Rhinolophus ferrumequinum: one gene and its partners. The protein of the gene in region 1 purifies or fractionates together with the protein of each later gene. This does not show direct contact. Links are inferred from orthologs where the notes say so. Each region holds a gene or a part of one and is shown in the gene's direction. Other genes may lie near its edges.

The links.
Region 2: the proteins of XRN2 (region 1) and CDKN2AIP purify together in Homo sapiens (affinity purification with mass spectrometry; 4 studies listed by BioGRID and IntAct, with this or other methods). This does not show direct contact. The link is inferred for Rhinolophus ferrumequinum from reciprocal best matches to the Homo sapiens genes XRN2 and CDKN2AIP.
Region 3: the proteins of XRN2 (region 1) and CDKN2AIPNL purify together in Homo sapiens (co-immunoprecipitation; 6 studies listed by BioGRID and IntAct, with this or other methods). This does not show direct contact. The link is inferred for Rhinolophus ferrumequinum from reciprocal best matches to the Homo sapiens genes XRN2 and CDKN2AIPNL.

Annotation. Positions count from the first base shown.
Region 1 is NC_046306.1:41,561,177-41,571,598, forward strand, and holds the start of XRN2 (5'-3' exoribonuclease 2), read left to right. Parts: upstream 1-6,140; 5' UTR 6,141-6,244; coding exon 6,245-6,319; intron 6,320-10,422. UniProt on the Homo sapiens protein: Possesses 5'->3' exoribonuclease activity. May promote the termination of transcription by RNA polymerase II.
Region 2 is NC_046287.1:78,027,357-78,037,332, reverse strand, and holds CDKN2AIP (CDKN2A-interacting protein), read left to right. Parts: upstream 1-5,006; 5' UTR 5,007-5,177; coding exon 5,178-5,449; intron 5,450-5,893; coding exon 5,894-6,024; intron 6,025-6,452; coding exon 6,453-7,798; 3' UTR 7,799-8,569; downstream 8,570-9,976. UniProt on the Homo sapiens protein: Regulates DNA damage response in a dose-dependent manner through a number of signaling pathways involved in cell proliferation, apoptosis and senescence.
Region 3 is NC_046307.1:10,325,644-10,335,668, reverse strand, and holds the start of CDKN2AIPNL (CDKN2AIP N-terminal-like protein), read left to right. Parts: upstream 1-5,175; 5' UTR 5,176-5,241; coding exon 5,242-5,480; intron 5,481-6,758; coding exon 6,759-6,858; intron 6,859-10,025.

The DNA of each region.
Region 1 (10,422 bases):
TCCCCTTTTCTGAGTGCCCAAAATTCCAATTTTTGTACCTCTTTTACACAAAGCAATTTTAGCACCCAGGTTAACTAGCTGTGTAGTCCCCAAATTTTGTTACTGGTTTGTTTGGACTCTTTCCTTTGCAAGGGGTAGGAATTTAGTCCAGACTAGCTTAAGGCAAAAAGAGAATTTATTGACTAGTGGAATTAAAGGACAGGTTTACCAAACAACTGTAGGAATGAGACAGGTTAGTTAGTATGACATCAGGCAGTTAGAGACTCCTTGGTAGACAGAGCAAAAACAGAACACAGGACAACTGTACCAGGACAAAAATGTCATCAATCATACTCTGGGACAAATGGGTTTGTTTTAATGGTCTCACTTTACATTCATCATAGGTGGAAACAAAACAGTTCCCAATCACAATGGCAACCCCCTACACCTTTTTGTTTTGACCAAATGCCTTCCTTAAAAGCTTTAAGCATGTATTCCCTCCTTAAACATCTTTATTTAGAAGGCCACTATTATATTAATCGTGCCATCAATTTTTGTGATGCCCAGAGTTACGGCATACACCCCTCTACCTTAAAGCACCTCATTATCGGCCACAGCCTTTACTGACCTGTGGGCCAGCACCAGATGTTTAGGCGGGGACACACACACCGATTTGGGTAGGTGCCCACCTGGAGGCACGGGCCGGGCAGCCCAGGAAAGCACGACTAATCCTGGTGTGCCGTGTCTCCCTACTAGCCCTGGAATCGGTCGTGCGACGTCCGTGGCCCATGCATCTGGGGGACGCCCTAGAACAAGTTGTGGGAGATGAATTGCAAAGGGATGCCTTTCTGTTCTTCCTCTCTTCCAGATGGGCAATCAGCCCTCACGCGTCTTCACCCCTCTAAATTGCATCTTGAAACATTGGGACAAATCTGATCCTCAGACTTTGAAGAAGCGGCGTCTGGTTTTCTTTTGCTCCGAGGTTTGGCCTCAATACAAGCTGGAAGATGGGGAAAGTTGGCCTTCTGAGGGAAGTACTAACTATAATACTATAATGCAATTAGATCTATTTTGTAAGCGGGAAGGCAAATGGTCAGAAGTTCCTTATGTATAGGCTTTTTCACCCTAAGGGACAACCCAGATCTCTGTAAGAAATGTAGAGTTGACTTGGCTCTTTTGGCTGTGAGCTCTTGCATCCCTACTCCTAGGGAGACTCTTTTTAAGGAGACTCTCCCTAAGGAGACCCCTCTTAAAGGGACTCCTTCAAAGAAACCCCCAGCGGGATCCTCCTCTCCTGAGGAGGTCCCTTTAATAAACACCCAGTCAAGGGATCATCCCAAAGCTCTATACCCTACTGTTCCTCTGGAGCCGGCTCCTACCCCAGCTCCGTCTTGTTGCGCTACATATCCGGGACCTCCTGTACAAAGGCGCTCCCAACTAAGAACAAATCTCCTTCCCTTACAGGTGATGCCAGGAGAATTTGGGCCTGTCAGGGTTCAAGTCCCTTTCTCCCTACGGGATCTCAGACAAATAAAGGGGGACCTAGGGAAGTTTTCAGATGACCCTGACAAATAAATAAAAGCCTTCCAGAACATAACCCAGGTCTTTGACCTTTCTTGGAAGGATGTTACTTTTAAATCAGACTCTCACTAACTCTGAAAAGCAGGCAGCTTTATAAGCAGCCGAAAAATTTGGGGATGATCAGTTCCTGGAATATCATGATGAACAAACAGAACGAGACCCCACTCTGGAGCGCTTCCGTACAGGAGAGCAAGCAGTACCCGCTACAGATCCACAGTGGGACCCTGATAAAGCTATGGGAAACTAGCAGAGAAAACACATTCTGGCATGCATTTTAGAGGGTCTGAGGAGAACTAGGACTAAGCCCATCAATTATTCCAAACTATCTACCGTTAGCCAGAATTCAGAAGAAAATCCCTCAGCCATGTTAGAAAGACTCAGGGAGGCCCTAATCAAGTTCACTCCTATCGGGCCAGACTCCCTTGAAGCAGAAACCCTTTTAAAGGATAGGTTTATAACTCAGACTGCCCCAGGTATCTGCAGGAAATTACAGAAATTGGCCATTGGTCCCAAAGGCACCTTGGATCAGTTACTCAGGGCAGCCAACATTGTCTTTTACAGTTGGGACCAGGAGGAAGCCCAGGACAAGGAGAGGAGAATAAGAAAAAAGACGGAGGGCTGGCCCAGTGGTTCAGGCAGTTAGAGCTCCGTGCTCCTAACTCTGAAGGCTGCCGGTTTGATTCCCACATGGGCCAGTGGGCTCTCAACCACAAGGTTGCCGGTTCAACTCCTCGAGTCCCGCAAGGGATGGTGGGCTCCGCCCCCTGCAATTAAGATTGAACACAGCACCTTGAGCTGAGCTGCCTCCTGGATGGCTCAGCTGGTTGGAGCACGGGCTCTCAACCACAAGGTTGCCAGTTCGATTCCTTGACTCCCGCAAGGGATGGTGGGCAGCGCCCTCTGCAACTAGCAACGGCAACTGGACCTGGAGCTGAGCTGCGCCCTCCATAACTAAGACTGAAAGGACAACAACTTGACTTGGAAAAAAGTCCTGGAAGTACACACTGTTCCCCAATAAAGTCCTGTTCCCCATCCCCAATAAAATGTTTACAAAAAAAAATAAAGACCCCACTCTATTTCCTCGCCAGAGGCAATACCCTCTAAAACCCGAGGCACAGAAAGGACTAACACCAATCATTACCAGTCTCAAACGACAGGGCCTTCTTAGAGAATGCAGTAGTCCTCGCAACACCCCCATCTTAGGAACTCCAAAATCCAATGGAGAATGGAGATTAGTTCAAGATCTCTGAGTCATCGAGTTAGTTATTCCTCTACTCTCTACAGTTGCAAATCCTTACACGCTCTTAGCCCAAATATGTGCCAGATGGTTCCCAGTTTTAGACTTAAAAGATGGCTTCTAATGCTTACCTGTACCCTCTGACTCACTATATCTCTTTGCCTTTGAGGACCCTGAAAGCCAGACTTCACAGCTCACCTGGACGGTCCTTCCCCAAAGGTTTAGACACAGTCCCCACCTCTTTGGACAGGCCCTCTCTAAGGACCTGTCAGACTTTTCTTATGACAGTTGCACGCTCTTACAATACGTCGATGATCTCTTATTATGTGCTCCATCTGAAGACCTCATCAGCCGGAGCACCATTGCTCTTCTGAATTTTTTAGCCTCTAAGGGCTACAAGATTTCCAAGGTCAATGCCCAGATACGTCAGACTGCCTGTCAATATCTTAGGCTAATTACCTCTAAAGGGACTAGGGCCTCGAGAGAAGACAGGCTCCGTTCCATCTCCATGTATCCCCTACCTAACCCTTAAACAACTAAGGCCCTTCCTAGGCATCACCGGCTACTGCTGCCTATGGATCCCAGGATACGGAGAAATGGCCCGTCCTCTCTATCAATTGATTAAAGACACTCAGACTGCAAATACCCAGCTGCTACTTTGGAGCTGAAGCAGAACACGCTTTCAGCCTTTTAAAACAGGCTCTTTTAAGCGCCCCAGCTTTAAGTCTGCCAACAGAAAAATCCTTTCACTTATATGTAACAGAGACAAAAGGAATGGCTTTAGGAGTCTTAACACAGCCCAAGGGACCCTCATAACAACCTGTGGGCTATTTAAGGAACTAGACCTTGTGGTGCTAGGCTGGCCAGCTTGCCCTCAGGCAGTAGCAGCAGCTCTTCTTCTGGTCCCCGACAACCAAACTTAAAATGAAACAAGAGTTAGGATAGGTCAGAGAAACAGTTCTTGAAAACAGAGCTGCCACAGACTACCTACTCCTTAAACATAATCAAGGATGCGAACATTTTAAAAGATTATGCTGTTTCAATCTTTCTGATAATTCTCAGCTAATTGAGGATAAAGTTCAACAAATTCATAACATAGTTTCCAACATTAAATAGCGGACAGGATTTTTTGGCGTTGATCTATCCTTTCTTATTTCCTGGCTTCCTAGCTTGATGGGATTTAAAGAAGTTTTTCTAATTTTTCTTTTGTTCACTATTATAGAAATTACTTCATGCTGTTCCCTATAGTGTATCCTAGCTTGCAGACCAGCCCTCCGGTGGCTATGATGGCTGAGAAACAACGCTGCCCCCATTTGAAATCGCCCATCTACCGGGGTCCTTCAGAGAGACCTCTGGACCAGCCCTACCTGCCGGTCTCTCTACGCCCCTCCTCAGCCTGAAGTAGCCAGAGCAGTCATCACCCCCATGCCCTAACGGCAGTTAGGATTTTATCTTCAGAGGGGGAATTGAGACAGGTTAGTTAGTATGACATCAGGCAGTCAGAGACTCCTTGGTAGACTGAGCAAAAACAGAATAAAAACAGAACACAGGGCAACTATACCAAGACAACCGCACCAGGACAAAAATGTCATCAATCATACTCTGGGACAAATGGGTTTGTTTCCATGGTCTCCCCCCAAGCTGAGCAGTAGAGCTAGTCTGGGAAATACTGTATCCATAGACACCCACATCCCAACATCCCCCACCCAGGCAGAAATAAAGGTATATAAACACAAGCTTTTTGCCTTAGCTAGTGGGCATCCCATCTTCAGGTCCTCCTCCCGCTCGGGAGCTGTAACTCTGCTTACTATAATAAACTATCTTACTGTGCCACTCTTTGCCTCTCCTTGATCCGTGTGTCCATTCTTCGGCTCCACGAGACTACGAACCCCGGCATTCACTAAGCAACATCCTACATCAGGAAGAGGGATTTAGCTGTACTTACTCACTGAACCAGGGACTTAAATCTACTTCTCTCATTGCAGACTAGCAAGTCCATTCTTACCTTTCAGTTTTCAATCATCTGGGAAGGACTACCTTACTTTCCTTATGGTTTGAAGTTCAAAAATGCTGGGCAAGGGCTGTCATGGCCCAACTTGTCCAGTTGTCCATCCCTGTATCAATCGACTATGGTGTGTTTGCTCCAATAAAAACATAGCACCTACCAGGGGAACCAAATACTTGATGAAGAGGGACTATTTCCAGGAGAAACGAGGGAGTTCACCAAAGACATAATATTCTGGAATAGTTTTCACTATCCTTAAGTAAAATATGGGCTAACCATTTCTCTAATTGTCACGGCAGTTTAAACAAAGTGGCATCAGACCACAGAGGAGAGGGCAATGAATATTGCATGTCAGGTAGCCCAGAGAAATACTTTCATAGAGACCTGTTGAAGTGAGTTTTTAGGACTGAGTGTGATTTATCAAGCCAAGAGAGGATTCCAGAGAGAAAGGCTTCCAGCCTTGAGCAAATGGACATAAACACTTCTTCTTCCAGACTTTTTACATGCTGAAAAAAATATATTTGAAGCCATCAGAAAACAAAAGATGTAAGTATGCTTTTAGGGCCAGGACAGAGGATTAAATGATCTTTCCTTGGACTGAACCACACGCAGTGTGAACAAGCAAATGTCTTAACCCCTCTACAACTTGGCTTTCTCATCTGTTATGTGAAGATGGTAATAGCCCCCTCAGAAGGCGCAAGTGACGATTAAATAAGATAATCCTTTAGCTAATGCTTTAGCACATTGTAAGCGCTCAAATAAATGGAGACTGAAATCAGCAATTATTTTATACTCATAAGTGTAGCTAGAAGGTTGAATTAGATGCTAAACACCGGCTAGATTCCATCTAATAACTCAGGTGAGTTACTTATGTAAACCAGCCATCATTAGTACAAAACACTCCTTTTGAACGTACTGTAGCACGAAACCAGGAAACAGAAATAACGAGTTAGTTTAAATGCCTTGATTCTACTCTGAATTGAGATGGGTGAGAAAGAGGTAATCAAACCCGCTAGGAAGAGGTCCCCCAGAAGGCTGCGGAGCGCGGAGATTCCGTCCCAGGGGAGCCCGAGGACTGGGGAAGCGAGACCCCGGGGGAGACGTGGCGAGCGTGAGCTCGACCTCGGGCTCGGGGAACGACGCCACCAAGAGCGAACGTACCACGCAACGCAGGCCGCAGCCCTAACCACACGCTACACCGCCGAACCCCACCTCCGACAACAAGTTCGGCCGCGCCTGGCCCCGCCCCGCTCGGTCGCGGGCGGACGTAGCCGGTTTTGAGACTCTTTCCCGGCTTCCCCAGCGGTGGTACCGCGACATCACTTCCTGTCGCTGGCGCGCACGTGGGAGGAAGTGCCGGTGCCCGCTACCGCCGCTCCTGCCTGTTTCTCAGGTTACGTTCGTCCGCGGACCCGGCTGCTGCTTCCAGCTGGACCGCCGCTATGGGAGTCCCGGCGTTCTTTCGCTGGCTCAGCCGCAAATACCCGTCCATCATTGTCAACTGCGTGGAAGAGAAGGTGAGGGGCAGAGCCTGGACTGCCAAGCTCTGAAACGACGAGAGCCCCTGCTTGCCTAGGCCGCGGCCCTCCGGGCCAGCTGCCTGCCCTAGGGCGCGGTGCCCGTCTGCGCCGCTCTGTCGGCCTCGCGGACAGCCGCGGTCCGACGCGCGGTGAGGCGCCGGCATTCTCCTTCGGGGTTCCCGGACAGCGGCCTGGGCGGGGCTAGGGCCGAGCGGGACTGAACTGCACGGGAGGCACTCCTCCCCTGCCCGCTTTTTCCCGGACCGGAAGGCCCCGCCCACGGCTTTGTTTCCTCCGGGCACCGCGCAGTTTGGGTTTCGAAAGAGGTTGGGAGGTTGTTGGGCCGCACTCCGCTGTTCCGTTCAGTTAACTAGTTCGGGTTGCGCGGATGCTGATCCCAGCCTTTAACAACCTTGTAAAGTAACTCGGCGGCGAGATTTTTGTTGTTTACTGGCCGTACCTGAAAGGTTTTGTCGTAGTGTGAGAGACCGTTTGTTGCTGTAGTTAGATCGTACGGTGAAAGCAGCACTTTAAAAAGTCTAGGGCAAGATAGAAGTCTGATCAGTGCCCCTTCCTTAAGGTTCCCCGACTGCTGGATGGCATGCTCGTTGAAATTTTCAGAATTCCTGCATATACTTGAACGACACTTTCTGTGGTCAGTTTGTTAATGTGTGTGTTGACTTATGGCCATTCTTGAGTTTTGTATTTTTGTATTTTCCATGATTCCGTCCAAGTTCGATTTTGTACTCTTAATTAGAATTTATGGATCGAGAAGGGTAAGGGCCGCATCTTGGCCCCCACCCCTTCGTTTTTTGAAGGAAGTGCCCGTCTGTCGCTGTGAACGGATTTCTTTTGCTTAAGTTGGTTGGTGAGAGACTGATTTTTGTTTTAGTCCCTATCCAAGGAGGGAGGAACCAAAAGCATTGTTTTGATGACATGAGATTTCCTGCGTTTTTCTCAAAGATAAACTGTTTAGCTCAATGCTCGTTTCCTTTGTTTTTAAAACTTTTATCAAACTTTATTAACTTTACTTGAATCTCATCACATTTTTACTCTCCAGTGATAACCACTTTCAACTGTTTTGGTTCTAGCTCTAAATGTCATGCTTATACCTGAGTCCTTGGTTTTGAAACTATCTGTTGAATTCTAGCTGTGTTAAAAGAGGTTTTGGTCATTTAGGCAGCCCCTCCTCCCCTTGCCCGTCCTCCTAATAATAGTAAGTCACATCTTTATTTCTTCTGTTGGTCAACTTTGTAACTTTAAGTAATATGCTTTGTTTAAAAAATTTCCTCTCATATATAAAATATCCTTGATTTTTCACTTTCTGTGGTTAGGTATTATCTTTTCTAGCTCTGCTGCCCTTATTCCTCACCCCAAGCTTGTCAACTGTACTTTTGTCCTGTTGGCATCCAATACTAAATTGTCAGGGCTTTGGCTATACAAGTTTGTTTTAAAAGGTGAAAAATCAAATGGTATTGTTGATTATTGTCATTGTGCAGATGCAGTTTATGTACTGTGATTCTGCTGCTTCTGCTACTTTTGCCTTTTTCTTGGTATTACTGGTCTCTTTACATGACTCCCCTTCCAAACCATGTTCTATCAGATATTCTCTCAAATCCTCTTTTCTTCTTAGAGACTCCTTGAGGTCTTTATTTCTGTTGCTGTCACACCTGGTTGTTTAGGCTTTCTGGAAAGCTGCCTGAGATTTTTGAAAATTCCTTTCCGCAGTTGGAGGTACTGTTTTCTAATCACGATCTTTCTGGGCTTAAATCCTTCCTTGCTTTTTCTTCTCAGTTGAATTCTCAAGAGATGCTGTGTGGGATGTGAGTTTTTTGAGTCCATTCTACGTTCATGTACACATGAACAGTCATTAGCTAGCTAAGCATAGCGTTTGAATTCGAAAATTAGTTTCCCTCAAAAGTTTGGAAGCATTGTTTTTTTTGCTATTATCATCCAGTATTGATGAGAAGTTGAATGTTAATGTGATTGATTTATTTAACCAACACCTAGGTGGTGTTTACCATACACCAGGCACTGTTCTAGGCACTTTACAATTATTAAATCTTTATAACAACCACATGACATTATTATTATTCTTGTGTTATTATTGAGAAAACTGAAACACAGAGGGGTTAAGTAATGTACTCAAGGTCATTCGGCTAATACATGTTAGAGCTAGTGTCAAATCCAGGAAGAACATGCTCTTAATTTCTATGTTCTGATTTCATTCTTTTGTAGTTGATCCGTTTTTCTAATTTTAAAGAGATCTTTATCCTTGGTAGTGTAAGCTTTCATGATTTTGTACTTAAGTGTAGATTTTTAAAATTTAAATTTATTTATTTATTTTTAAAAGATTTTATTAGGGAAGGGGGACAGGACTTTATTGGGGAACAGTGTGTACTTGCAGGACTTTTTCCAAGTCAAGTTGTCCTTTCAATCTTGGTTGTGGAGGGCACAGCTCAGCTCCAGGTCCAGTTGCCGTTGTTAGTTGCAGGGGGTGCAGCCCACCATCCCTTGTGGGAGTCAAGGAATCGAACTGGCAACCTTGTGGTTGAGAGCCCACTGGCCCATGTGGGAATCGAACTTGTCAGCCTTCAGTGTTAGGAGCATGGAGCTCCAACCGCCTGAGCCACCAGGCTGGACCCTAAAATTTGAATTCACTTACATCAATACTTTGCTGACTCTCTGAGTTTGGAGACTTGTCTTCTTCAGTTGTAGGGAATGTTCTTTGATTATTTTATGTATGTTTTACCTCCTTTTTTTCTGCCCTCTCTGAACTCTGGATACTGGTCCTCCTAAATTGATTTATTTTTCTTTTTTCTCTCTGTTCTCTCTCCCCAAACCCACTTCTTTCCCTTTCCCAGCTTTATTGGGGTATAATTGACCTACAATAAACTGCACATATTTAAAGTGTCCAATATAATACATTCGATGTATGTGTATATTCATGAAACCATCACTACAGTCAAGATAATGAATATCACCGGTAAAACATTCATCTTGCCCCTTTCTTATTTCTTCCTAACACCTCTTCCTGCTACCTATCTTTAGTCAACCACTGATTTATTTCTGATTCTATAAATACGTTTTCATTTTCTACAATTTTATGTAAACGGAATTATACTATTTTTAACTGCTTACTTTTCATTCAATTATTTTGAAATTTATCCACATTGTTACATGTATTAATAGTTCATTTCTTTCTATTTGTGAATAGTATTCTATGTTGCACTTATGCGTATATCACATTTCGTTTATTCATTCACCAGATCGACGAAAATTTGAATTGTTTCCCAGTTTTTGGCTATTTTTTTTTTTAAAAACTATGAACATTATTGTACATCTTTGTGTGTACATATGCTTTCATTTCTTTGGAGAAAATACGTAAGCATGAAATGGTTGAATTGTATGGTGTGTGATTATTTAAAAAGAAAAACTTGCCAGATTGTTTTCCGAAGTGGTTGTGTCATTTTACATTGCCCCCAGCAGTGTATTAGAGAGTTCTAGTTGCTCCACTTCCTTGTCAACACTTAGTATGGTTAGTCTTTTTAGTTTAGCCATTCCAGTGTAGTGTTGTGGTTTTACTTACTGTGTTTCCCCGAAAATAAGACCTAGCCAGACAATCAATCAGCTGCAATGCGTCTTTTGGAGCAAAAATTAATATAAGACCCGGTATTATATAAGACCCGGTCTTATAGTAATATATAGTAATTTTTGCTTCAAAAGATGTATTAGAGCTGATTTTCCAGCTAGGTCTTATTTTTGGGGAAACAGTGTAGCAATTCTCTAGTGACAAATGACTTTGAGCATCTTTTGGGATTTTTATTTGCCTTCCATGTATCTTCTTGAGTGAGGTGTCTCTTCAGATCATTTGCCCATTTTTTTTTTCTATGTTCCTTCCCCAATAAATCTTGGCTTCCATCCGACATTAATCACTTTGAAATGGCCTGAGAATTTATTTAATGTCACTCCTTAATCACTTTATTAAATGTCACTGCTCCTAAATGTGAATATTTGCTTTTTATCTCATCTCTGACATCTTCCATAGTTCCTTAATTGGAGAACCCCAACTCTTTTTCAAAAGAATATGAGTTTGTCAC
Region 2 (9,976 bases), on another chromosome or scaffold:
TATTTTATAACATTCGTATCACTGGTGTGAACCAGTGAGAACCAGCAGAACTGCTGGTCAGGCAAGTTTTACCATGTTTCCCCGAAAATAAGACTTAGCCCGACAATCAGCTCTAATGCGTCTTTTGGAGCAAAAATTAACATAAGACCCAGTCCTCTTTTACTATAAAATAAGACAGGGTCTTATATAATATATAATGTAATAATATAAAAAATATAATACCAGGTATAATACCAGGTATAATGTAATACCAGGTATAATATAATAGTGGCTCTTATATTAATGTTTGCTCCAAAAGACGCATTAGAGCTGATCGTCCGGCTAGGTCTTATTTTCGGGGAAACACGGTAATTGGAGGACCTTGGAACTTGGCCATTTTTATGGTAAAGGAGCATCAACCCCAGATCTTCCCAGACAATGGGCACCCTTGCTTCTGAAAGGGTTCCAGAGTTCAAGTTCTAGTTATACCCTGGTTCTTTGGTTCCATGTGTGAGGAGGGGTTGAGACTTTGGTTCCAGGTACAGCTGGAGGTCAAAGCTTTCAGCTCTGCACATGCTTCAGCTGCATGACAATACAATTTTGGTCTGCTGTCTCTGAAAAGCAACTCAGCATCTCGTTAAACAGGATAGGACCATTTTGAGCTGGTTCTGCTGTTACATAATCATATACTTATGTACAGGAGCCCTAAGTACAACGAAAGACAAATTTCCTATCCTTCCTGCTCCTAGCTTCCAAATTGCCCAATAATTAAATGGATTATTGATGTCGTAATCTTAGTGCCTGGATTTAAGTTTTAGCTCAGTTCCTATTTCTTTTGCAGCCACTACACCTTGTGAGTGAATCAATATTGCTGATTAAACTGCAAGGAGCAAAATGTGAGAGGAGACAAAATTCTAGACCATAAGTCAGTAGACTACATTCCTTGGTTTCATATTCTTGCTCTTCCATTAAACAATTGACCTTAGGCAATCACTTAACTGCTCTGATCTCAGCTTCCTCATCTACAAAATAGTCTTAAAGTCCCCTTCCAGCTCTAACTTTCCATGATTCTGAAGAGCCAGGATCAAGTTGTTTATGGGAACTTAAACTGTACTTACTTCTCCAAACAGTAACTCTTCTCTAATCTCTATCTGTATCTCTCTCCTAGATTTAAATATCCCACATTCTGGGATGCACAGGTGAAGAGTTTCACGAAGGAATGGGGAAGTTACATATAATAGTGTCTTATCTTGTTGGCATTAGGAAGAACATGAAGAGTAAAGATGAAATTGTTTGTAGGAAGGCTTTTTATGTGACTATATAAAGAAATATAAGTGCTATAAAAAGATTTATCACTTTGGCTAAAAATGTGGAAAAAAAGAAATCCTGATTAACAGCCTCTCCCACAGGAGAATTGTCTTGTGTCATTTGAAACTGCTTACTATGATACCTTAAAATCTTTTCCAGTATTTGGTGACTTTTCTGTTCACATGGCTGTTATCTCCATTTCCTTGAGTGTAACTTCTTCGCTTTATTGAGTTTGTTATTTTCCTTGCATGATATTGACCCTATTCAGATTTTTTGTTATTCTTAGGGTGAACACATGACTCAGACCTGTACAATCAGAATACTTCATACCCCTGGCTAGAAAGCTTATTTAAGGGATACATATATGATCCAACAGAATCAGTGGACTTTTTTAAATTTTATTAAATTTATTGAGGTAACACTGGTTAATAAAATTATAAAGGTTTCAAGTGTACAATTCTATATCATCTGTATGTTGCATTGTGTGTTCACCACCCAGTCAAATCTCTTTCTGTCACCATATATTTGACTCCCTTATCCTTTTCTACCTCCCTCCCTCTCGCTTTCCTTCTGGTAACCATAACCACTATACTGTTATCTGAGTTTCTTGTTTGTTTGCTTGTTTCGTCCATTTGTTGCTTTCAGTTTTATATCCCAAAAATGAGTGAAGTCATATGAGAACCAACGGATTCTTAACAGAACCTTAGGACATTGGCAGAAACTCAAGAAAAATAAATTTTGTTTCTACTGTGGTTGCTGAGCTATGGAGGACATTTGCCATGGGCTACTAGGAATCACCTTGCCACTATGTAGGAAGAGCTTGCTGGAGACTGAAGCTAACACAGAGAAAGCAAAGTCTAGAGATGAAGAGAAACAGACTTCCTGATTACAGTATATTGTCTGGGCACTTGGATCCCACAGTCTACTCCCTGGACTGTCAATAACACAGCCAATAAATTCCCTCTTTAAGCAAAAGCCATTTTAAATCGTCACTTGCAACTGAAATTAATCAAACTAGCATTTGAGAACCTATCAAGTCCATAGTTCTCTACTTCTTTACATCAGTAGATGTCCAAGAAGGTTTTCTAAAATTGAGGTAATCACTACGCCACAGGAAAAGAAGGTACAGGCATAACTCTGAGATACTGGTTTGGTTCCAGACCACCGCAATAAAACAAATGTTGCAATAAAGCAAGTCACATGAACCTTTTGGTTTCCCAGTGCATATAAAAGTTATGCACTATACTGTAGTCTATTAAGTGTACAATAGCATCATGTCTAATAAAAATGTACATACCTTAATTAAAAAATACTTTATTGCTAAAAAAATGCTAACCATCAGTTGAGCCTTCAGTGAGTCGTAATCTTTTTGCTAGCAGAGGGTCTTGCCTCAATGATTAAAATGCAGTATCTGCAAAGTACAATAAAGCAAAGTGCAATAAAATGAGGTGAGTCTATAAAGTGGAATTGTATCTTTCATTTACATGATTTTAGAAACAAACCCCATGAAAGATATAACTTCATAATCTTATTTACTTCTCACAGCAGCAAACATATTGACAGTGATTAATGTTAAGGCTTAATTTAAAACAAAATCGTCCAGGCAGAGCCAACACTTCCCTCCTCAACTCCACCCCACTCACCACTCCCCACTCCCATTGATTTTTCACAATTTCTCCTCTCACCTTTTCTGTCTGAATCCCTCCAACCCAGAAAGAAATTAAGGTATTTGTCTTTTTTTTTTTTAATAAATACTCTTCTTCTCTATGTGGTCTGAGGTCTATACCCTAAATCTTCACATACAAAGTTAACTTTATACGAGTCAAAGATAAAAATACACATATCTTTTCTGTCAGGCACCTAGGTCTTGCAAATAAGTACTCCAGTTTTCAGACCATATTGCTATTATCATACTTTAAAAAATGATTTTGAGGGGCGGCTGGTTAGCTTAGTTGGTTAGAGCACAGTGATCTTAACAACAAGGTTGCAGGTTTGATCCCCGGGTGGGCCACTGTGAGCTGCACCCTCCACAACTAGATTGGAACAACTACTTGACTTGGAGCTGATGGGTCCTGGAAAAACACACTTAAAATCATAATCATAATTTTGAAATTCAGGCTCTATTTACTCTCCTTTCAGGACAATGAAGCCCAGGAGTGGAAGGCTACAATGCAACAAGAAAAAAAGTCAGAAAATTCTTGGTTTAAAATGCACAAATATCATCTAGGTAGGTAATCAGATTCTTTTACTTGCCATCTCCCCCTTGCCAAAGAATTCGTGAAAGACCATAAAATTTGTTCGGTCTTTTAAATTGCCGGATTTCTGTACCCTTTCACTCTCCTCTACAATTTTTCAGCAATTTTCCCTGAAAAGGAGAAGAGAGAAACTAGAAACAAAACCCCAAACTTCAAAATTTCTTTATGCCTATGTTTTTATGCAGTTTCATTGGCATTGCAGGAAAGTGGGCAGTATTATTTTCACATAATACATTTTTATTGTTACAGCACGTATATAAATTACATGGCTTCGTTTCTTAATCTTATTAAAGTGACCTTTTTTCTTGATTATTCTGATTCAAGCATTTTAAAATCAAAATCGTTAGAGAAAAAATTCCATTTCGTAATTTATCATTATTTATCACTTATTTTAGCTTACTAAATTGTATTAAACTTCAATCATACATACACCTGAAATTGGAAACAAAACAATAACCAAGCCGGCAGTATTATGTGTGCACATTCTAAAGCGGAAAAAAAAATGCAAGGAAAAAATAGTTCAGAGGTAAAGGTTTGGGGCGATGAAGATAAACAGGTCCTTTTCCACGCCGCCTCTCCTGGCTATTTGTCCAGTTGGGCATTATTGTTAATTCAAGGAAATGCGACAGATACAGAACGTCCTGGGCGCGGTGTTGTTACTGACCAAACACCACCAGAGAAGCAGCAGGGATTGCCGGGGTTGCACTGCGGAAACGAAACCCAACCCGACTCTGCGGGGTAACGAGTTTTAAAAGACTGGGCACCGCAGGGCAACATTGAATTGGATTAATCGTTAAACTTCATTATCTGTATTATTATTACTATTCATTATTACTACTATTATCACGCACCCCCTCTTATATGCCGAGAGACGTGAACGGCCTCAGAAAGCTTCACTGGTCTACATTCAAACACAGCGCTTGAAGCTGTTTTCCGACGCAAAAGATGGAGGCGAGCTTTTGTTTATTTTGGCTCAATTCAAAACAAGCGTTGGGGCGAGAACGCACTGTCCTCGCCTCAGCTCGGAGAGGACGCGCCGCGGCTGCCGACGAGGGTTTTGCCCGTCCTGACCCAGCTGCGGGGAGTCCCACGGCTCCCCGCCGTTTCGTCGGGCCTCCTGCGCCACGACTCACGGCGCTGCAGCGGGCCCGGGAGGCGGAGGGCGACGGCAGCAGCGCGCCCGGCGTCACAGACTCGAACTGGAACGTTCGCATTCCCGCCGAGGCCCGGAGCGCCCCGGGAACCCACTCGCGGCCCGCCCTGATGGGGCGGGAGGCGCAAGCACCTCCTCCTTTCCTTCCCGTCCCCTCCCCCGGAGGACGCCCCCCCGCCGCCGCCTGTCGGGGCCGCAGCGTCGCGGCTGCTCGGGCGCCGCAAAGCGACCTGGGAGAGCCGCGCCGGAAGAACGCGGGGGCGCTGGGCGGCGGCGAGGTTATAAAAGGGAAGGAGCCGGCGGCGGGCGGAAGTGGGCGGTTCAGCTGCTCGGGGCGCTGTTGTTTAGGTCTTGGGCCTCCCGAGGGGCGTCTTCTGGAGGGCCGCCGGTGCAGGCCGCAGTGACAGAGCCGCTCGCCCCGCGCACCCGCCTCTTCCCCGGTGCAGTGTCTGCTCGCAGCCTCCGCGACCTGCAGGCACAACATGGCGCAGGAGGTGTCGGAGTACCTGAGCCAGAACCCGCGGGTGGCCTCCTGGGTGGAAGCGCTGCGCAGCGACGGCGAGACTGACAAACACTGGCGCCACCGCCGAGAGTTTCTGCTCCGTAACGCCGGGGACCTGGCCCCCACTGGCGGCGCTGACTCCGCTAATACGGAGGAAGCTGCTGACGCCGAGAGCGGGACCCGCAATAGGCAGCTGCAGCAGCTCATCTCCTTTTCCATGGCCTGGGCCAACCACATCTTCCTCGGGTGCCGGTGAGTGAGGAAGCGTCCCTAAGCACCTCTCCGGGTTTTGTCTTCAGCCCCGGGACTACGGGCTCGGAACACTCCCAGGGAGGGGAAGTTGTGAAGCGCGGGAATCGTGGGACCGGCTGCCCTCTAAGGGTGAGGAGGGCGTCTCTACCGGAAGCCGACATGATTTACAGTCTGTTGGTGCCCCCCTTGGGTGGGGGGGCTGCTGGTGGAGTTGACGTCTGACAACGCTCTTGTGGGTGGACACTACATTTATGGTGGGTAAGGCGGGACCCCGCTCCCAGATGCTGGTGCATTTGTTTCTGGGGTTCCAGGAAACAAAGTTCCTGGCGGTTGGTACACTTTCTTGGTTACAACCAGGAAATGCAGTTTCTGGCCTGTTTTCTCATACCAAAAGTAGTAGCTTAGGGAAAAACACTTTAAAAATGGCTTTTCCTTCTTTTTCAGGTATCCTCAAAAAGTTATGGATAAAATACTTAGTATGGCCGAAGGCATCAAAGTGACAGATGCTCCAATCCATACAACAAGAGACGAACTGGTTGCCAAGGTGAAGAAAAGAGGGATATCAAGTAGCAATGGTTAGCAGATCATAGATGTGAACATACATAGGAGTTTAGAATATAAGTTTGATATAATTAGGAATTATTGTTACTACTAATTTTTTAACGAGCTGGAATTTATGTAATGTTATTAATCAAGTTGGAATGTTGAACCTAAATTATGTGTCTGTGTTTTAGCCTCTGAATTTAACAGTTTCCTTTAACTGCTTTTGCTTTTGAAGTATCAAATGTTGTGTATGCTGTTGATTTTTTAATATTAGAAATTAACGATGTTGTTCAATGCTGTTTTAAGAGATTAATGAAGTTATTCCACACTTTTTAAAGAAACTACTAGTCCTGAAATATTTTTGCCTTGTGCCTTTATTTTAATGAATGTCTGTCTTGTAAATTTTCAGCTAATATGTATGAGGTAGACTTAGTTATGTATCTGTTTTTCTTCTTTTTAGAAGGGGTAGAAGAGCCAACGAAAAAACGAGTTATAGAAGGAAAAAACAATTCTGCAGTTGAGCAAGAGCATGCAAAAAATTCTGCCAAAACAGAACGTGCATCAGCTCAGCAGGAAAACAGCTCAGCATGTACAGGGTCGTCTACCAAATTAGAGAGTAGTGGGAACTCTACTCGGAGCTCTGGCACCTCGAGTCAGAATAGTTCTACAAGTGATGGAGATCGATCCGTTTCCAACCAAAACAGCAGCAGCGTTTCCTCTCAGGTAACAACAGCAGGATCTGGAAAAGCTTCTGAATCCGAAGCCCCAGATAAACACGGTTCAGCATTATTTGTTTCTTCATTGTTGAAATCCAGTATGAATAGTCATGTGAGCCAGTCCACTGATTCCAAACAACAAAGTGGATCACCTAAAAGTGCTTTGGAAGGCTCTTCAGTCTCAGCTTCTCCAAGCATCTCAGAGATTGAGGTGCCCTTGTTGGGCTCCTCAGGAAGCTCAGAAGTAGAGTTGCCACTGTTGTCTTCTAAACCTAGTTCAGAGACAACTTCAAGTGGGTTAACTTCCAAAACCAGTTCAGAGGCAAGTCTTTCATCATTGGTTTCTAAAAACAGTTCCTCATCAGGCACATCCTTACTAACTCCCAAGAGCAGCACATCAGCAAATACACCAATGCTGACATCCAAAAGCACTTCGCAGGTAGCTGCATCACTGTTAGCTTCCAAGAGCAGCTCCCAGACCAGTGGATCTCTGGTTTCCAAAAGCACTTCCTTAGCAAGTGTGTCCCAGCTGGCGTCTAAGGGTAGTTCTCAATCTAGCACATCCCAGTTGCCTTCTAAAAGTACTTCCCAGTCAAGTGAGAGTTCTGTCAAATTCACTTGTTGCAAGTTAACCAATGAAGATGTGAAACAGAAGCAACCTTTTTTTAATAGACTGTATAAAACAGTAGCATGGAAGTTGGTAGCTGTTGGTGGCTTTAGTCCCAATGTGAATCACGGAGAGCTCCTGAATGCAGCTATCGAGGCTCTGAAAGCAACACTGGATGTGTTTTTTGTCCCACTAAAAGAACTGGCAGATCTGCCTCAAAATAAGAGCTCTCAAGAAAGTATTGTTTGTGAATTGAGATGCAAGTCTGTGTATTTGGGCACTGGCTGTGGGAAAAGCAAAGAAAATGCAAAAGCAGTTGCATCAAGAGAAGCACTGAAGCTATTTCTCAAGAAAAAGGTGGTAGTAAAAATATGTAAAAGGAAATATAGAGGGAGTGAAATAGAAGACCTAGTACTCCTTGATGAAGAATCAAGGCCTGTAAACTTACCTCCAGCATTAAAACATCCTCAAGAATTACTATAATAACGTGCAAAATATCACTCATACAATATCTGATATTTGAAGAGAAAAACTGGCTTTTGTATAATATAAACAGGCTTTCACAAATTTTGTATTGCTTTTTTCCAGTTTTGCAGAAAATTTACATTCTAGTCCTCTTCACAGAGTAGAAGTTGTAAATAATTTATGAATGACAGTACACATTAAAAGATAGGCATTACCAGCATAGCAGTATGCTGTTTTATTTGCTGAAGAAAATACTGTCTTCTATTTTTAATGATACATTAGGTACGATGTGTAGTTCTGTAGAGTCTTAAAACTTTTGTACTATCGATTTGGTAAAAATGTATTAAGTTGTCTACCATGCTTTTTTTTTTCCTAGTGGAATAAACCACATCAAAAGAAATGGGGACCATAGTATTTGAATATCTGAAAGTCTGTGATACTTAAGGTTTTAAGAATGTTGCCCATAATGTTGAACATGTCTGTTAAAGAATAAAAGAAAAAATAGTTGCCTCAGACTATTTTTATGAGAAGTTGTAAGCATTTTTTAGATGCAAAGCAGTATAAAGTACTTAAGGTTATTTTATTCTGAAGTTGTTTAAAATTCACCATGATTTTGACCACTGCAGATTCTTTAAGTGGGTTAATAATTTATGTTTTGAGGTAAAATACAATTTACACTTTTTCTTAAAAGACATAAATGTGGGTTTCTATATTAAGCATATTTTGTGACTACTGCTATTAACAGATTGATTTGTTTAGATATTAAATGCTTTAAGCTATTTTACCTTTTCAAGAAGTTGTGTTTTTTTTCCCCCCTAATGCAGAACCAATTCCTGCAAATAGGCTTCTTAATACTAGTCATTGTAAATTACAACGAAGTAATTTTTCATACTTTACATACAACTTTTAATGGATAGAGAAGGTATAGTTTGCAAATCAAGACCTAGATGGGGATTTTTGGTTACAAATCTCAGAAGAATGGTGAGCCATGCTCAGCTCTTTAATGAGCCTGCTCAATTGAATTATATTTATGAGTAATGAACTGGAATCCTGTTTTTGTATCTTTGGTGATTCTGATTGCATCACTCTACTGTGGTATATTCTCTTCCATTTTTCTTCAGACTCTGGCCCAAGATGTTTCGTTATCTTTGTGGCGTTTCTCCTGGCTTTTTAGATGCTTCATATTGAGCAGTAATGGTGATTACATAGATTAAGAAATGACCTTTCACATGTCAGTTGTATTGGAATAGGAAAATTGAACATAAGTGGTACAATTTAAGTATGTAGAAGTTATTTCTATTTTATATTCTAGAAATTGACAAGGATACTTCTATTTACTTGAAATAACCAGTTTTTATTTCATCAGATAACCTTTAGAAATGAGTGACTTTTGAGAATGTTAAATTGAGTACCAAAGTTCAGTCTCCATCTTCTGTAAATGGGTTGTGAGAAGCAATAACAAGAATGTTGTGAAAGCACTCTTAATTATCTAATACTCACTTTTCTCAGTCTTGGAATGTAAATTTTGTGGAATAATGATTGCCAGAAAAGGGAGCCAAATGTTACAAAGGATGAATACATTTCTATAATGTATCTAATTAGGTAGTTTGGTAATTTCCTAAATTGCCTTGTTTTGAGTTAATGTAAAGGTTATTGAAAATATTTTAATTATTGGAATTTTGATACGGTAGAATTGGAGGAAGCTGCTTAGTATAAAAAACAAATACTGTTTAATTTATAAACATTTGCTATAAATTTTTATTAAAAGCTTACATAATACTCTTAATCAAAATTTAAAGAATATGATTTAAAAGAAATGCGTATTTTACAATTCTTCAAGATAGTGTACTGCAGAAGAAAAGCTTTGGAATCTGTGACTTGATAGAGAATCTAGGCTTCCTCTGGAAGTTTAACCTTTTAACTTCATCTGTAAAATAGGACTAATAGCTGCCTCAGAGAGCTGTGAAGATTAAACACGGTAATACAGTTAAAATGCTCCGTATAGTGCAACATACCGTAGTTTATTAACTGTTTATATGTGTTCTGATTTCTTCACAGCCTTATGATTAGCTGTTCTCCATTTGGCTCATTTTTCAGATGAAGAATCTGAAAAAATTCAAGCCCTGATTCCAGAATCCAAGCTCTTAACTGTGTTGTATTGCTTATCTTTCTCACTTCTCCAAATACTAAAATTTC
Region 3 (10,025 bases), on another chromosome or scaffold:
TATCATGAAAGACATAGTGGTTTCTGCCTTGCTCTTTGTTGGTTCACTTACTGTAAAGGAAGACCCCCTGCCAGGTGAGGACACTCAAACAGCCCTGTGGAGAGGTCCATATAGTAAGAAACTGAGACCGGTGGCAAACAGTCATATGAGGGAGCCATCTTGGAGGTGGCTCCGCTAGCCCTAAACAAGCCTTCACATACATGAAGCATCAGTCAACAATGTACCGAAACCCCATCAGAGACCCTGAGCCAGAACCAGCCAGCTAAGCCCCTCCTGCATTCTTAATTCACAGAAACTGTGAGATAATAAGAGTTTGTTGTTTTAAGTCACGAAGTTTTGGAGTAATTTGTTATGCAGCCATGTAACTAATACAGAAGGCAAAATAAAGTCATTTTCAGATTGACAAAAAGTGAGCATGCCACTGGCAGACCTGTACTAAAGAAAATGCTAACAAAATTTTCAGGTAGAAGGAAAATGAAAACAGATGCAAGGTAAAAGATAGAGAAGTAATGAAGAACAAATAAAGTGGTAAATATGTGTATAAGTCTAATGGTTCATCTAATTTAAAAATATACCACAACAAGACCTGAATAAGTAGAGAGATATACCATGATTATAGATTGGATAATTCAATATTGTTAAATGTTAATTCTTCCCCAAATTGATCTATAGATTCAATACAATCCCAATTAAAATCCCAGCACTCTGTTTTTCTAGAAATTGGCAAACTAATGCTAAATTTTGTATTGAAAAGCAATAGACTAAAATAACCAAAACAATTTTGTAAAACAACATAGTTGGAGGACTCAAAACAATCTGACCTCAAGACTTACTAGAAAGCTACATAGGCTGAGTTGGTAAACTATGGCCCATCAGCCAAATCTAGCCTGAAGCCTGTTTTTGCAAAGCCTACAAGCTAAAAATGGCTTCGTACATTTTTAAATGGTTGAAAAAAGAAATAAAGAAAAGTATGCAACAGAGATTATATGTAGCCCACCCTTTACAGAACAAGTTTGCTAACTCTTGAGCTACAGTAATCAAGAGAGTATGATACTGCTAAAAGGATAGACACATAAATCAATAGAACAGAATAGGTCCAGAAATAGACACACATATATGGTCAATTGATTTTTGACAAAGGTAGCAAGGTAACTGAATGGAAAAAGGATATAGTCTTTTCAACAAATTGCACTAGACCAATTAGACAATCGTCTGCCCACAAAATAAAGAATCTTAACTTATGTTGGGAGACAATTGCCCATGGGTCTCTCACGTATCTGCATACCTTACGATCTAAGTTAGACACTAACTCCCCTTTTGCTCCAAACTGTCTTTTCAAGGATGTGTATCCACAAAACAGCCTGGAGATAGTGGCAACCTCTAGAGCAAAAGGGCAAGTTTGTTTACTGTCCAGATAAAAATGGATTGCTCTGGGGCAAAGATTGGGCAGGTTTGCTTGCAGTCCTTTATAAAAGATTGAAGTTCCCTAAGCTTGGGGTTCTTCAGCTGTGACACAAACTCACTGTGTGTACCTGTTTGTACTTCATCCACCCTGTGGGACCTTAGGGACAAGGGGAACCAATGGAAACATGAAGCTCATGCCGCTTGCTGTGCTATAAGTAAATAAAGTTCTTTGTTTCTGTCTTAGGAAGCTTATGTTTCCTGCCAGCATCCATTGAAACTGGCAGGGTAATTTGTTAGCTTGCAAGTAGGGTAAAATTTTATATCCTTTATCGCTCTTGACAACCCATACCTTGCATCATATACAAAAATTTACTTGAAATGAAGCATAGACCTAAATGTAAAACCTAACACTATAAAATTTTCAGAAGAAAACAAGAAATCTTTATGTCATGGGGTTAGACAAAAGATTTCTTAGATAGGACCAAAAAGCATGACTCGTAAAAGAAAAAATAAATTGGATTTCATCAAAATAAAAACTTTTGTTCTTCTAAAGACAATTAGGATTGTTAGGGCAGTCAAACTATTCTCTATGTTACTAAAATGGTGGATACATGTTGTTATACATTTGTCAAAATCTATAGAATGAAAAAAAAAAAAAAAACAACCATAGAATGTACACCGCCAAGAGCGAACCCTAATGTAAAGTATAGATTTTGGATGATGATGTGTCAGTGTAACAACTATACTGCTCTGGTGTGAGAAGCTGATAGTGGGGGAGGCTGTGTGTGTGTGTGTGTGTGTGTGTGTGTGTGTTGGTGGTGGTGAGGCATACGGAAACTATCTGTATTTTCCACTCAATTTTGCTATATACCTACAACTGCTCTAAATAAATAAAGTCTATTTTTTTTTAAAGGGCAAGGGGTCTGAATAGACATTTCTGCAAAGAAGATATACAAATGGCCAAAAAGCATATGAAAGATGCTCAACATCATTAGGAAAATACAAAACAAAAACACAGTGAGAGCACACTTTGTACCCACTAAGATGGCTACACTCAAAAAAGGGGAAAATAATGTGTTGACAAGGGTGTGGAGAAATTGGATTGGAACCTTCAAGCATTGCTCGCGGGAATGTAGAATGGCGTCGACACTGTGGAAAACAATCTGTAAGTTCCTCAAAAAGTTGAACATATACCCAGCAATCCACTATATATCCAAGAAAGTTGAAAATATGTTTACAGAATAACTTGTACGTGAATGTTCACAGCAGCATTATTCATAATAGCCAAAATGTAGAAACAACCGAAATGTCCAGCAACTGACGTATCAATACACAAATAGTGGTATATCCATGCAATGGAATATTATTCAACCATGAAAAGCAATGAAGAACTGACACACTACAACATGGATAAACCTTAAAAACATTATGTAAGTGAAAGTCAGTCATAAAAGACCACATATTATATGATTCCACCTGTGTTAAATGTGCATAGTAGAAAATTCATAGAGACAAATATAATAGTTGTCGCCTGGGGCTGGGAGTAAAGGGGAGTGACTGCTAAAGGGTACGGACTTTCTTTTTAGGGTGATGAAAATGTTCTATATTTGTGTTGATAGTTACAGAAATCTGTGACTACACTAAAATCACTGAATTATATACCTTAAATGGGTGAATTTTATAGTATGTGAATTGAATCTCAATAAAGATGCTTTAAAAAATAAAGTAGGAAAACTGATCTTTGTCTATATAAGTAAGCACTCCATTCTAAGAATATCTGAATCACAAATACAAGTTAGAAACAATAAACTGAGCAGTAATTGAACTTGACACAGGGTCCTGTAAAATGTTAATACTGACATTTTTAGACTACTTCACATTTTGAAAGTACAATGCTAACAATGTCATATAATTTTAAAAAATACCTGTTTGTACATTTTGGTATTCTTATAATCTGCATGCATGTCTCAGTCTGTTTGTATGTAGGTACATATATGCTTATCCTGTCATTGTCAAAGATGATTCTAAACAAGCTACTTGTGCTGGATGACCCCTTAGCTTTTTCACACCCCTGTGGCCAAGTTAGCTGTATAACTGCAGCTGCTGATTACAAAGCCCAGGTTCCTATTTCCATGGTACAATCAGGAGACCAATAATTTGGTGCAGAGAACCCTTATCAACATTAAGTGTTTTTCAAAGTTTGGTGAGCCACAGGTGGAATCAATTACCTAAGGCCTTGACTCTGAGCAACCAGTGATGGGCCTAGGGAATCTGCTATTTTAACAAGCCCCTCAGGAGATGTGATTTGTACTTAATTTGGGGAGCCCCTGCTCTGGGCACATATTCCTGACTTTTGTAGAGAAGATGAGTCTGTATGTGGTTTCACAGCCCTGTTCACTTTCTCCCTGCTCACCAGGATGAGAATTGCATGACTCCCTTTTGTTAACCATAATGGGATGTCCCTGAGCCCAGGGCTGGGTCTGCAGGTATTTCCATTCTCTCTGGGGTTTCTGCCTGCTGGGGGCCCTGACATCCCATGAGAAGCTGCAGAAGCAGCAGAGGGCACATAGTTGGCTCTGCCTCTGGGCCCCACTCACAACATAGGGCCTACACTGGAGCCCCAGATCCTGGACGCTAGGCCGGGCTCTGTACCCCACCCCATATCTAATAGGTAATGATTGGGAAGCCTGTTAGGTCAATAAGCTCTCAAGATTAATAGAGGCTCAGGTGATTTTCCTGTTACTGGACTTGAATGGTTCCAGGGAAGGGAAATTCACCACTTACAATGGCACTTTTGTCTCTCAGGGAGTTTGTGACCTGACCCTAGGAGAGACAGTGGAGTCCTGCCAGCTCACCTGCTCATCTCCTCTGGACACATCCATTCTGGCTCCTTCCAACATCTTTTGGAAACATGTGCCACTGCTCTGGTTAAAATCCTTCAGTGGCTCCCCATTCTTCTTAGAATCTAGACCACAGTCCCTATCATGGCCTACTGTCCTTGACCTTTGCAGCATTATCTTCTCCACTGTACCCTATTCTAGGACCCTGGTTGCAGTTCTCTTACCAGGCCAGGCTCTCTTTCCATGGCCTCCTCCTCTTTATGTAGTTAACTCCTGTTCATCCCTCAGCTCTCCAGCATCATTTCCATGACTCTGGAGTCTGGGCCACGTCCATTGTTTATTCATGCTTCTAGCACTCTGGTCCTTTCCTTATTAAAATGTGTCAACGGTGAAAATTTTCACTTGAGCACTAGGTATTTCACTAATGTTTGCCTCCCTCAGTAGATGGTAAAGTTCATTAGAGCAGGGCTCTGAGTTTGCTCTCATTGCAACCCCAGCACCTGGCAAAGGGCCTGGCAGGTATTTAATTCGATGGATGACTCACTCCACGAAGGTGGGTCACAACCTGGGTGGGGTGTCGAGACCTCTGGGAATCAAAGACAGACCCAGAGCAGCTACACATGTAAGTCCTGAAAACAGAGGAAATTCAACTGCCGGCTGGGTACCCAGGGAACCCCCAGGGCAAGGACACAGCACAGCTCTGGTTGGCGTCCAGCTGCCGAATGGGAGAGCGGCACCCCGATTCTGCGCTGGGGGGCCTCAGGTTTCCTAGCGGTTCCCCGCGGGGGTGGACCGAGAACGGCCCCTGTGCCCTGCAGCCACTGGCCGCGGAGGTCCGAGGGGTCGGGCGGGTCAGGCCGCCGCGCCCGGCGAGGGCGCTCCAGGCCGATTCTCTGGAGCAGTCGCGGCCGCCGGGGCCCCTCTAGCCGCTGGGAGGTGACGCAGTGCCTGTCGGGAAGGCAGCGGGAGCGGCCGGCCCTCGGCGGCGGAGGGCGCCATGGTGGGTGGCGAGGCGGCTGCCGCGGTGGAGGAGCTGGTTTCGGGCGTGCGGCAGGCGACCGACTTCGCCGAGCAGTTCCGTTCTTACTCGGAGAGCGAGAAGCAATGGAAGGCCCGCATGGAATTCATCCTGCGCCACCTGCCCGACTACCGAGACCCGCCCGACGGAGGCGGCCGCCTGGACCAGCTGCTGTCCCTCTCCATGGTCTGGGCCAACCACCTCTTCTTGGGTTGCAGGTGCGGACCACCGCCGCTGGCTGACCCTGTCCCCTGCCTTCCGATCCGTCGCCCTCGCTCAGGCGTGACCCTGCCCCCAACCTCCAGCCGCAGTGGCCAGGCCTCCGGCCGATTCCCACCCTAGCCAACAAACCCTCAGTTTCCTCACTTGGAAAATGAGTTGTGATGACTGCAATATTAAAGGGTGAAAAGCACTCAGTACAGGCTGCCATCTGGCCAGAGCTCCACCTGTGCTGGGCGCTAAAGTTACCATTGTTATTTATATTGCCAGTAATAGCTCTAACCACCTTTGCAGAGTGCATTTTGAGTCCATTAGCTCCTTTCACTGGCAAATGCAGAGACAGAAACCGACCGAAACTGGGATGCCCCAATTTACATATGAAGAAACTGAGACAAGGGGAGGTGACCTTCCTAGGACCTTGAGGCTTCTGGCAGGATTGGTTAATTTTACCATTTATATCTGGATGTAATCTGTGGCCCTAGCCTTTTTCTCCCCATTCCCCTGGCTTCTGGACCCTGAGCAAGAGCCAGCCTTTGCCTCACTGCCTTTCCTCTTACGAAAATAATAACAAGATGCCTCGCACCCTCCTTTATCCCACCATGAAGAAGGTGGAAAATCTCGAGGTTCCCACATCTTTTTATTTTAGCGTTTCCTGAAATTGTGTTAGGATAAAATGACTCGGGCTAGTCCTGGCTTCGGTGCTCCTTAGGTCTGTGTGACTCTGGTCACATGGCCCCTCTTGCCCTAAGCCACTTGGTTTAGCTTGCAGATGTTGAGGGTTATTAGAACAAGATTTGTGCCAATGAAGCAGTGCCAGTCATATCCATCCCTTTTCTATGCTTTCTCGGTGGCCCTGGGAAATCCTGATTAACAGGATCCAAGATTTGGCAAATGTCAGAAAATTGGATCAATGAACAAATAATGTTATTTTCATTAGACCAACACTCCATGTGTTCAAAAAGTAATTTTTTTGGCCCTCATACCATATCCACGAATATGTACTGCCAGATGTATGGTGCCTCTATTTTTGTAAATCTTTTTTGTTTGTTTTGTAAATTTGAAACACCTGCTCTGTTGGCATTCCTGGAGCCACTTCTGTATCCCCCAACAGGAAGAACTGTTAACTACCTGCTGCTGAACATGCATTGGTTTGTCCTGTGGTATCAAATCAGTCCTCTAAGAATTGAGTTTATAGTCCCATTGCCTGCAATTTGTTAGCCCCATACTGACAGGTAATTTTTCTAAGGTTTTTAACCTTACTACTTTTTATTATGCAGTTACAACAAAGACCTTTTAGATAAGGTGATGGAAATGGCTGATGGGATTGAAGTGGAAGACCTGCCACAGTTTACTACCAGAAGTGAATTAATGAAAAAGGTAAACAGGATTTCCAAGTGCTTTTGAAATGGTACAAAGTTAACAGCCCGTGTTTATGATGATTTATTAGAGTAAATATTGTTTCCTGAATGCTTGTTTACCCAAAGATCTAAACCCTTTCATTTTTATTTTTCTGTAATTGGTCTAAACCTTTTTATACCTAGATAACAACTCAGTGTGATAAATTATGCATTGTTGGTGGAGTAACACATAAACTCAACCTCTTCATTTCCTCTAGGAACATTGTTTTGAGCTTCTTGCTTGATTTGTAAAGAAAATGTTGGCTAGTTTCCCACTTATTAAAAAGTCTTGCTGGTAACATTAACTCATTCTTCACCCAGCAGGTTAGGGCCTGACCAGTCTCGTTCGATCTCTCCAACTTACTTGCTGATTGGAATGTAGATGGAGTAATGTCCACACATCATAGCTGTTCCCTATTTTGCAAGGCTTGATATGAGGCCGTGCCTGTAAGAGCCTGGTATCTGGATCCCGGGGCGAGAGCCATGGAGAGTGTGGCAGAAAGAAGCCCCAATGATGGAGCTGGGCAACCTAGCTACTCTTCAGAATTCCCCAAGAGATGCTTTTTCTCCTTTGCTGGGGTCTCCCAAAATTTCTTTCTTTAGCGCTTTACCCAGGCCTCTTTTAAAGCAGATTATAAGCTTCTTGAGGTGGTGCCAAAAGTTTTAGTCTTTCTAACTCCAAAATCTAGTATAGGCATACCCCAGAGAAGGTGCTCAGAAAATGCTCACAAAACTGACCATCGCAATAGGATAAATGGCGGCTGGCCTCTCTATTAGTGCTGCTCTCCGAATCATAGGTAAGCCCCTGCCTCACCCTATTTGGAAGGCAGGGCATATAAAGAGGTTCCCTTTTGTGTGGTGACCAGAAACTAATCAAATCCTCAGCTGCCCAGAAAGTCCTGCAGCCCCAAACAGTGCACAGCCCACTTGATTTCAGATAGTTTTCCTATAAAAGTACTCTTTATCTTAAACATCTAAACCTGGAATCAAAAGTTTCAGGTTGATATTCAAGGGGCTGTTTTATTTTTAAAATCCACTGTTAACAGGAGGCTACTGTTTTTTGACAGGAACCATGTAAACGGGGGATTTGTGACTGTTTGGATCTTCTCATGTAATACTTTAAAAAAATCTCTGGGCGATCAGTCCTTCAGGGCCCCGGAGTGGTGCGGTTCCTGGGCCCCCGCACGGGCTGGCTAGACGGTTGCTGGCTGCCTGAGTGTACCCCGCCGGGCAGGGGCAGGCAGGGAATAGGGTGAATCTTTACTTCCTAACTGTTCTTGGCAGATTCCTTCCTTGCTTTTTTGCCCCTAAGAGGTATTCTGTCCTCCCTAAGACCTTGCACATCAATTTGCTATTACCGTATACTTCTGTCTTGTACGTAGCGATACTCTTTCCAGTCAGGCCAAGCTATTGAGAGATCAGGTCACTTCATGATATTTGGGCTGCAGCCCCCAGGGGAGGCTAAGGCGCTCTTGTAATTGATATGCGTCCCTAACATTATACATAGACCTGTGTGAGGCAGCGTATGTGTGTGTGTGTTGGGAAGGGTCTCTGTTCTACATTGTAAAATGGTCTTGAACCTCAAAAGAGTAAGGACGCCCTGCCGTGGGATTGTGACAGTTCATTTTCACCGTCATTGCAGTGTTAGCCTCCAGAGCAGAGTCCTCAGGCATGAACCTGGCATCCTTGAACTGTCATCAGACTGATTGTTAGCACTAACTACTTGGAAGAAGCCTGCAGGGAGCCTAGACTTCTGCAGCACTTTGGGATTACATGTGTTTCAACTGCCTTCAAATACAACTTCTGTTTTCTTAGTAACCAAATTTAATTTTAGACTTTCGATGCCACTGAAAATGAAACTCACTTGATCCTGAAAAGTGAGATACTTAGAGGGTGCAGAGTTTTGCCAGTTGTTAAGACTCTTCTAGATAAGCCCCTCCTGAGAGCGAGTCATCTGATCTGTGTGCCGTGACAGACCTGTAAGGTGCTGAAGGCCGTCCCTCTCCATCGAAGGCGACCTTGAGAGCCCAGTGGAGAGCGCTGTGGGGACTTCGCAGCAGTTCTTTTGTCTCTGGCCTGAGGTTTTTGCATATAACAGAGGCTAGCAAACCTAAGCAACATGGCCAGCCCAGAGGCAAAAATAAAAATAAAAATCCTTGACGTTGAGCCACGCACCTGAAAATGTCTATTGTAGTTCTGCCTAGAATTGGTCCTTAGCTCTAAAATTAGAGTTTAGTTGGGTTTTAAAGCTAGCTAGCAAGTAGAAACAAAATCACCTGTCGTTGGTGTCTCAGGACTGGACAGTAAAGATGACTTAGGGACATAAGCTCTTTAAGGTAAGATTTTAAAAATGCTTTATGGCTATTCTGCAGTTTTGAGGCAAGTATGTCTCCCCTGTCCAACTTTTTTTTTTCCCCGAGAAAAGTGAGCTTTAGTCTCTGGAGGTATTTGTCAAATAGTTGCAGTGTATGATTTTTCTTTTGAAAGAAGGGGATTCAAACACAAATATATTGAACGAACAATTTCAGTTATCTAACAGCCATCCCTTGGGCACATCCCTGCAGTTGACCAGCTTTACCCACTAATGAACAATAATTAACAAATAAGCAGCAGCTCACTCGGGGTGTCATCACTGTGACTGTCAGCATTGATATTTCCAAGGCATTGTCTTAAGGAGAAAGGGGTGTGAGTGACTAGGAAGCTGTCATTATTGGCTCAAAGAGTTTGTCAACTTAATTACTTGTCCATTTTCCCTGAAAACAGTTTTATCCAAGAGGGAAACTGACAGAATGTAAAGCGTGTATGAAATGTGAAAGAGAAATTAGGAAAACAAGTGTGCCTGCATTTCAAGAGGTTCTTTTGGGTGGCCAGTTAGCTCAGTTGGTTAGAGCGCGATGCTGATTAACACCAAGGTTGCCGGTTTAATCCCCGCATGGGCCACTGTGCGCTGCGCCCTCCTTAAAAAAAAAAAAAAAAATGTTCTTTTTTGTGCATTATGTCCAGTCTTGGCAAGCTGTAAGGTAATGGAGCAGCCACTCCCTTGGTGGAAGGAGATGTGATTCTAAGGTGGCAGGTATTTGTGGTATTCAGTTAAATCACGTTTTGTCTTGTTTCCCCAAGATAAACGCACAGGGGAGCTACCTTTTC